2 linked regions of the Tribolium castaneum genome follow. The protein of the gene in region 2 purifies or fractionates together with the protein of the main gene of each other region. This does not show direct contact. Links are inferred from orthologs where the notes say so. Each region holds a gene or a part of one and is shown on either strand. Other genes may lie near its edges.

What was found.
Region 1: the proteins of fu (region 2) and cAMP-dependent protein kinase catalytic subunit 1 purify together in Drosophila melanogaster (affinity purification with western blotting; 3 studies listed by BioGRID, with this or other methods). This does not show direct contact. The link is inferred for Tribolium castaneum from reciprocal best matches to the Drosophila melanogaster genes fu and Pka-C1.

The regions. Positions count from the first base shown.
Region 1 is NC_087397.1:21,579,070-21,583,494, forward strand, and holds the start of cAMP-dependent protein kinase catalytic subunit 1, read left to right. Parts: upstream 1-1,471; 5' UTR 1,472-1,800; coding exon 1,801-2,342; intron 2,343-4,425. UniProt on the Drosophila melanogaster protein: Serine/threonine-protein kinase involved in memory formation. Promotes long-term memory by phosphorylating meng and by regulating CrebB protein stability and activity.
Region 2 is NC_087395.1:1,143,341-1,146,818, forward strand, and holds the end of fu (serine/threonine-protein kinase fused), read right to left. Parts: exon of another isoform or gene 3,429-3,478; intron 3,379-3,428; exon of another isoform or gene 3,282-3,378; intron 1,509-3,281; coding exon 673-1,508; intron 623-672; coding exon 551-622; 3' UTR 526-550; downstream 1-525. UniProt on the Drosophila melanogaster protein: Probable serine/threonine-protein kinase; maternally required for correct patterning in the posterior part of each embryonic metamere. May be involved in control of cell division during metamorphosis and ovarian development. May interact with costal-2.

The DNA.
Region 1 (4,425 bases), on a different chromosome or scaffold from region 2:
TTTATTCGTTAGAGGGGTATGTATTTTAGCTTTTTATCAAATTTATTTAAAAAAATAAAATAATAATTTGTTAACAAACGTTGGTGTTTATATAGTTTTGAAACATCTAACATGTACATACAAGCAAGTAGAAATGAACCCGTACCTTCTGCTAAGCAATAAGCTGAAGATAGAGGAGTTTTCTGGATTTTCGAAGAAAGTTTGTAATTATGAATTACCTATAATTAAGCCGATTTTGGAAATTAGTATAGTAAATTTCTAACATTCAGATTGCTTTTGGTTTTTGAATATGAAAGCAAATTCTTTAGTAGTGTCTCACAAAACGACAATCGCAGGTTGCAGCAAAAAATTATTTTCTTGCAATACATTTAATTTTTTCTATTTTTTGAAAATGTACAATAATTATTTAGTTACAATTTGCATTTCTAACCCAAATTAACAAAGTTCAACGACAAAAAGAATAAAACTCATTTTCTAAATTAATTTCAATTTGCTTCAATGAGGTCCTTTTTTTCTACAAACTAATTTTAACAGATAGGAGACAAAGTTTTATTCTAGAAAACTTAGAAAAATATGTTACAATATACAATTACAACGCTAATAGTTAATAAATAAAAAATTATGTAACAGAATTGTGACAAAAAAATGTGTGTAACTGCAAAAAATACAGATATGTTGTATATAACTTATTGGAGATTTGTACTTATTATTTTTATGGCTTTTGTAATTAAAAATTATGTATAATGTAAGAAAGACTTACTTTTTTTTTAAATTGTATGACAGCAATATAGCATATTTATGGTGCATATTTTAGGTTTTTTTTAATGCATATTTTCCGAACCCTAGTTATTAAGAATTAGATCTCTTATTGCAACTATTCATTATTTTAGCTATTAATTTTTTCAAATTTTGAAAAATACATCGCAATTAATCTTGTAGAAATCAAAAAAATATTTCAAAAAATACAGTATTGATTAAATTATAGTAAAACATCCTGAAACTAAAATGAGACGTTTGCGTTACGGTTTAATTAATGTACTCTCAGTTTTATTAAGGACAAACTTTCCAAACAGCAATCTTTTTTTAATATTCTTTGATATTTTGAACTGTGGACGCAACCAATTATACACATTTCTAATATTTAAAAAATTAAAAAAAATTAATTAAGAGTTTTGAATATTGAGTACCTATGTGATTAGTAATGAATGTTGATGAATTTTGCACATATTACGTTTAGAATTCGTCGTAATAGTATTAATTTATGAATAAAATTAATAATGTATTGTTACGAATTATTTTTCAAGTAGGCACTGTCACAGTCGTGTCACATTTGACAGTTCATTGACACTGACAAGTGTTACCTAACCTGTTTTACGATGATTAAAATAAAAATGTTTAAACTTGATTTAAATCTCGCGCATTGCTTGTATTTCGCTTGTTGTCCGCTTTCCCCAAGCATTACCATCCGTTCGGTGGCGTCCTCTCTTATCTCCCCATTAAACCGTGTAATTGACTTGCGAGCGAGTGTCTTCGCTTCAATCCCCAAATGAAGTGAAAATCTGGGCACTTGGTAGCCATTTTATCGTTAGCTCGTTGGTTTTTCGGCGTGTATTTTGAATTTGTGTTGCCCGTTTTAATCAGTGTCTGTGCCTCAATCGTGCGAGATAAACTCAATAATGCGTGTGTACGGATCGTTGTGTTGACACAAACCAAACGCGACATCCGCTCCGAGCTCATCCTTGGTGCTTCAGGCGGTGTTAGAAATCAATCGAAGCCCTGGAAGGTGTCCAAGTCCAAACCATGGGCAACAATGCCGCAACGGCGAACAAAAAGGTCGACTCCGCCGAAAGCGTGAAGGAGTTCCTCGACCAGGCCAAGGAGGACTTCGAGGAGAAGTGGAAGAAGAATCCGACAAACACCGCCTGTTTGGACGACTTCGAGCGCATTAAAACCCTAGGTACGGGTTCATTCGGACGTGTAATGATCGTCCAACACAAACCCACGAAAGAGTACTATGCGATGAAAATCCTCGATAAGCAAAAGGTGGTCAAGTTGAAGCAGGTGGAGCACACCCTCAACGAGAAGCGCATCCTGCAGGCGATCAGTTTCCCGTTCCTAGTCAGTCTGCGGTTTCACTTCAAAGACAATTCGAACTTGTACATGGTGTTGGAGTATGTGCCTGGAGGAGAGATGTTTTCGCATTTGAGGAAAGTCGGACGCTTCTCTGAGCCACATTCGAGGTTTTATGCTGCCCAAATTGTGCTCGCTTTCGAATACTTGCACTATCTAGATCTGATCTACAGGGATCTGAAACCGGAGAATCTTCTCATCGACTCGCAGGGGTAAATAAACAAATGATAGTTATTTATTTTGAGTGGAAATCGGACGCTTTATTTGACGAGTGAAAAAATTCTAACACAAGTCTACATGTGGGGAAGGTCAAGCTCTTTAGGCCCTTTGGTGTTCTGAAATTGTTTCTTATGCCATGAGATCGAAAATTTACTGAATTAAAGCAAGCCAAGGGAAGTGCATTTTTAGCCACACTTCTTTTCAAAACATCGTGTTGCAAAAGACAGTAGATAAGATTAAGAAGATGTCCAGAAATACTGTTTTTATGTTAGCAAATAACCGAAATTCTGCCAATTGAAGATTTCTGTCAGTCTCTTTTTTTTCACTTGTTATTAAAATAGCATTCTACGATGTAGGCTTTTAAACACCATTTTGGTATAATTTAGATGAAGCAAGGAATCAGTTTTTGAAAAATCATAGTCTCTCATTTTTTGACATTTGGCTAAAATTCCGCAGCATGACCTGCTCTAATTCAGTTTATTTTCGATCTCATTGAATTTATGATTAGAGTAGGCTTTGAAAACGCTGATTATCATAATTAATCAAGCTGAAAGTCAAATAATAAAATTTCGAATAGTAATATTCAATTGGAATACATTTTTTCTTTCATGTTGCACTAATTTATTAATTACAAAGATAAAAACCGCCTAATCTAACTATAAATTGAAATGATCGCATGTACAATCATATCGTCGTTTTTGTTTATAATCAACTATCTAAGAACCGTCAGGTTGGCATTATCATAAATAGAGTAATTTTTTTGAATTAAGGTTGGTGTAATTTTTTACCTGGCACATTCAATTTCCAAATTTTTCAAATTGTCTCCAATTTAAAACGCGTACAACAACACATTTAGTTATTTTAGACCACTTTTAGACTAACGAATTAACGATTAACACTAACATCTAATTTTCAAAAATGCCAAATCTGGTGTTCAAAATGTCAAATACAGAATACAGCCAGTTTCAAAAGTGGGTGGACATGAACTTTTAGGATGAAATAGTCTGGTCTTTATCAGAATTTTGACACTGACAAGTGATTATATAAAAAAAAACTATATTTCAGAAAACTACTTTGGGCCGGTTTATAGAAAGCTTTAATTTAATTCGTTTTTAAAAGTTAACAACGCGAATAGACCAATCAAATTTGTTCAATTTGGTCACGTGATGCATTTAATTGCAGATTAACTTAATGACGCTTCTATAAAATATAAAGTTAAGTTGAATTTAATATAAAGTTAAGAAGGTACTGGCAATACCAAAATTCTAAGTAAATAAATAAAATAGTTATGTGTTAGTTAATAAATGTATGGTGTGGACCTGACGGGTTCAGAGCCTCTAACAATATTGGATTTGGTATTTTCTTCATTCTTCACATTCAGGCTGTTCCAACGAGCCGAAAATAGTCCATAACTTGTATTATTGACTTTTTCCTTAGATATATACAGAGTGTCTCAGCTAAGACTTTCGAGCTTAATATATCAGTTATTTGTCAACAGATTTTTATGAAATTTAGAATGCACATATTTTAGGAGGTGTTTTTTCCATTAGGGGCAAAAAATGACATAAGTTAAGAAATGTAATTTTAAAACACATTTCTTTTATTTAAAATTAAGCTGAATTAGTATTGGATTATTAAACCCCGAAAAATAGATGGCTCCACAAAAAATTAACCAAATCGCTCGGTTGATCCAAGAAAAAAAAATTGATTTTGTTGTTAAAAACTAAATCCAAATTTTCAAAATATTTGAATAATCATGCGGCATTTTGTGTCCCACTGTATCAAAAGTGTGTGTGCTGTCAAAAAAGTAAAATTGTTTTAATTTGGTGAAATTACTTTAAAAACAAACAACACTGGCAGAAATTTCTGTGTTGTTGTAAAAGGAAACAATATTCGCCTATGGAAAGTGTCTTTGGACTTTTTGTGAAATGTTATTTATGAAATTTAAAGTTCAAAGAATCGTCAACAATTTGAAGACACAGGAAGCGTACCTGAACTAAATCGAGTGAGAACAAAACACGTCACTGTAAATGAAGAAATACTTGGGGCTGTAATTCAAACTTTTGAAGAGAATCC
Region 2 (3,478 bases):
ATTTTTGTAAAATATTTTTAATCTTAATTTAACAGCAGGTAGGTTTCGTACAAGTTAAAATAAAATTCATATATTTTTTCTATCCATCAAAGATTTATCATTTTCTACAGAAAATATTTTCCACGGCGCAACCACCATTTTTGTAAAATATTTTTAATCCTATTTTACCTGCATCTTGTTTGTCGGTAGTTTTCGTACAAGTTAAAGTAAATTTCAAACATTTTTTTATATCAATCAGCAATTTATACATTTTTTACAAAAAATATTTTCCCCGGCGCCTCCACCATTTTTGTAAAATATTTTTATTCCTAATTTAGCTGCATCTTCTTTGTCGGTAGTTTTCGAACAATAAATTTCTCCTGTTGAATGGATTTGTAATTAAAAAAATAATAACTTGTGACTTTACTCCTATTTTATGCCAAATTTTATAAGATTTTTTCAAACAAAAATCTGTTTTTTTTAGTAATGTGTAAATAAAGCTACATTGATAAAAAAACACAAAAAGGTAAATAAAAAACCATAACATAAAAATAATAAGTTTTTATTAAAATCAAGTTGGTTTCACAATAGACAGTTTATAAAAATCTTTACACCTAAGTTCTTTAACGGTGCGATCAGCAGCCTAGAATAAAGACAATTAAAATGCAAATTCTGCATTCAAACAAAACTTACATTCCTAACACTTCCAATCGAATCATACATTAGAGCTTCCAAAGTCTCTCTCACAGTTTCATTCCAAAAAACTTCCACCTTATTGGCTGGCAAATGTTTGCCTAAAAACAAAAGAAAAAAACACGTCCGTTCTTGCATCAGGGGATTATTATGTCGCAATAATTCCACAAAATTAACACTTTTCCCTTCATTCAAAACAATTCGATCGACTAGTTCAAAATGTTCGGGAAAAACGCGCAAAACATGCGTCAAAATCGCCAACAAATCCATAACCAGTTGTAATCGACTTTTGCAAATCAAAAGAAACGATTTCAAAATCGCATACACATTCAAAACAGCGATGGAATCACACAATTGACTCAAAAACTCGTTATCCAAATGCACCAAATGTGTAATCAACATATAGACACATTCAAGTGCTTCAAAATCTTCCTCTGTTAAATCAGCTATATTCTTGTAAGTCGTTTCATCACTGGAACTTTTCAAGACTTTCATTATTTTTTTGAAGGAGTAAATCAAATTTGGAACCAACTTCACTAAGACGAACACTTTTTTGATTTGTTCCTTGATCTCGTGTGAAATTCCTCGAAGAGCGAAAGGTAACGATAAAAGCTTAGCGACATAAATCAACACTTTTGGACTTGTATTAGTGTTACGTAACGGTGACACAATTATGTTAGTCAGGTATGTTTGTGTCAACGAAGTGAGTTCACCTCCGATAACTTCCTCCATTGATTTTTGCAAAAAAACGATCCATTCTTCAGTTTCAATCGAATGATTTTCTACAATAAAAAAGTCATTTCGAACGGATAATGATAAATCATTGTTTTTTAAGTCTTGTGTTGAAACTTTCGGTCCACCATTTTTGAAAAATAAATTGTATATCAATCAGTGATTTAGAATTTTTTATGGAAAATATATTTCCCGGCACATCTACCATCTTTGTAAAATATTTTTAATTCTAATTTAACTGCATCTTGTTTGTTGGTGGTTAAAGTAAATTTCAAACATTTTTTATATCAATCAGTGATTTATAACTATTTTACAAACAATATTTTCCCCGGCGCATCCACCATTTTTAAAACATTTTTTAATCCTAATTTAGTTGCATCTTAGTTATCGATAGTTTTCGAACAAGTTAAAGTAAATTTCAAACATTTTTTATATCAATCAGTAATTTCTAAATTTTTTACAGAAAATATTTTCCTCGACGCATCCACCAATTTTGTAAAAAAATAATCCCAATTTAACTGCATCATTTTTTATATCAATCATTTTCAATTAATTGTTGTTTTATTTAATTCTGTTTTTTTATATTTTTGAACAGGATAGATAAATAAATAATTTTAATTTTTGTACAAAAAATATTTTTCCCGGCGCATCCACCATTTTTGTAAAATATTTTCAATCCTAATTTAACTGATCTTGTTTATCGGTAGTTTTTGTACAAGTTAAGGTAAAATTCAAACATTTTTTTATATTAATCAGTAATATATAAATTTTTTACAAAAAATATTTTTCCTGGCGCATCCATTATTTTTCTAAAATATTTATAATCCTAATTTAACTGCATCTTGTTTATCGCTAGTTTTCGTACAAGTTAAAGAAATTTTCAGACATTTTTTATATCAATTAATGATATATAATTTTTTTACAGCACTTTTTTTTTCGGCTCATCCACTCTTTTTGTAAAATATTTTCAATCCTCATTAATTTAACTACATCTTATTTGAAGGTAGTTTTCATAGAAGTTAAAATAAAATTCAAGCATTTTTGATATCACTCAGAGATTTATTAATTTTTTACAGAAAATATTTTCCCCGGCGCATCCACCATTTTTGTCAAATATTTTTAAACCTAATTTAACTGCATCTTATTTGTCGGTAGTTTTCGTAAAAGTTAAAGTAAATTTCAGATATAAATATTTTCCAAGGCGCATCCACCATTTTTGTAAAATATTTTGAATCCTAATTTAACTTCATCTTGTTTATCGATAGTTTTTGTACACGTTAAAGAAAATTTCAGACATTTTTTATATCAATCAATAATATATAATATTTTTACAGCAATTTTTTTTTCGGCTCATCCACTCTTTTTGTAAAATATTTTCGACACTAATTAATTCAACTGCATCTTATTTGTCGGTAGTTTTCGTACAAGTTCAAATAAAATTCAAACATTTTTATATCAATCAGTGATTTATTAATTTTTTACTGATTATATTTTTCCCGGCACATTTACCATTTTTTTAAATATTTTTAAACCTAATTTAACTGCATCTTGTTTGTCGGTAGTTTTTGTACAAGTTAAAGTAAAATTCAAATTTTTTTTATATCAATCAGTGATTTATATTTTTTTACAGAAAATATTTTCCCCGGCGCATCCACCATTTTTGTTTTGTCGGTAGTTTTCGAACGATAAATTTCTCCTATTGACTGGATTTGTAATTAATGTAATGTAATGTAATGTAATAATGACTTGTGGCTTTACTCCTATTTTATGCTAAATTTTATAAGATTTTTTCAAACAAAAATCTGTTTTTTTTAGTAATGTGTAAATAAAGCTAAATTGATAAAAAAAACACAAAAAGGTAAATAAAAACCATAACATAAGAATAATAAGTTTTTATTAAAATCAAGTTGGTTTCACAATAGACAGTTTATAAAAATCTTTACACCTAAGTTCTTCAACGGTGCGATCATCAGCCTAGAATAAAAATAATTAAAATCCAAATTCTGTATTCGAACCAAACTTACATTCCTAACACTTCCAATCGAATCATACATTAGAGCTTCCAAAGTCTCTC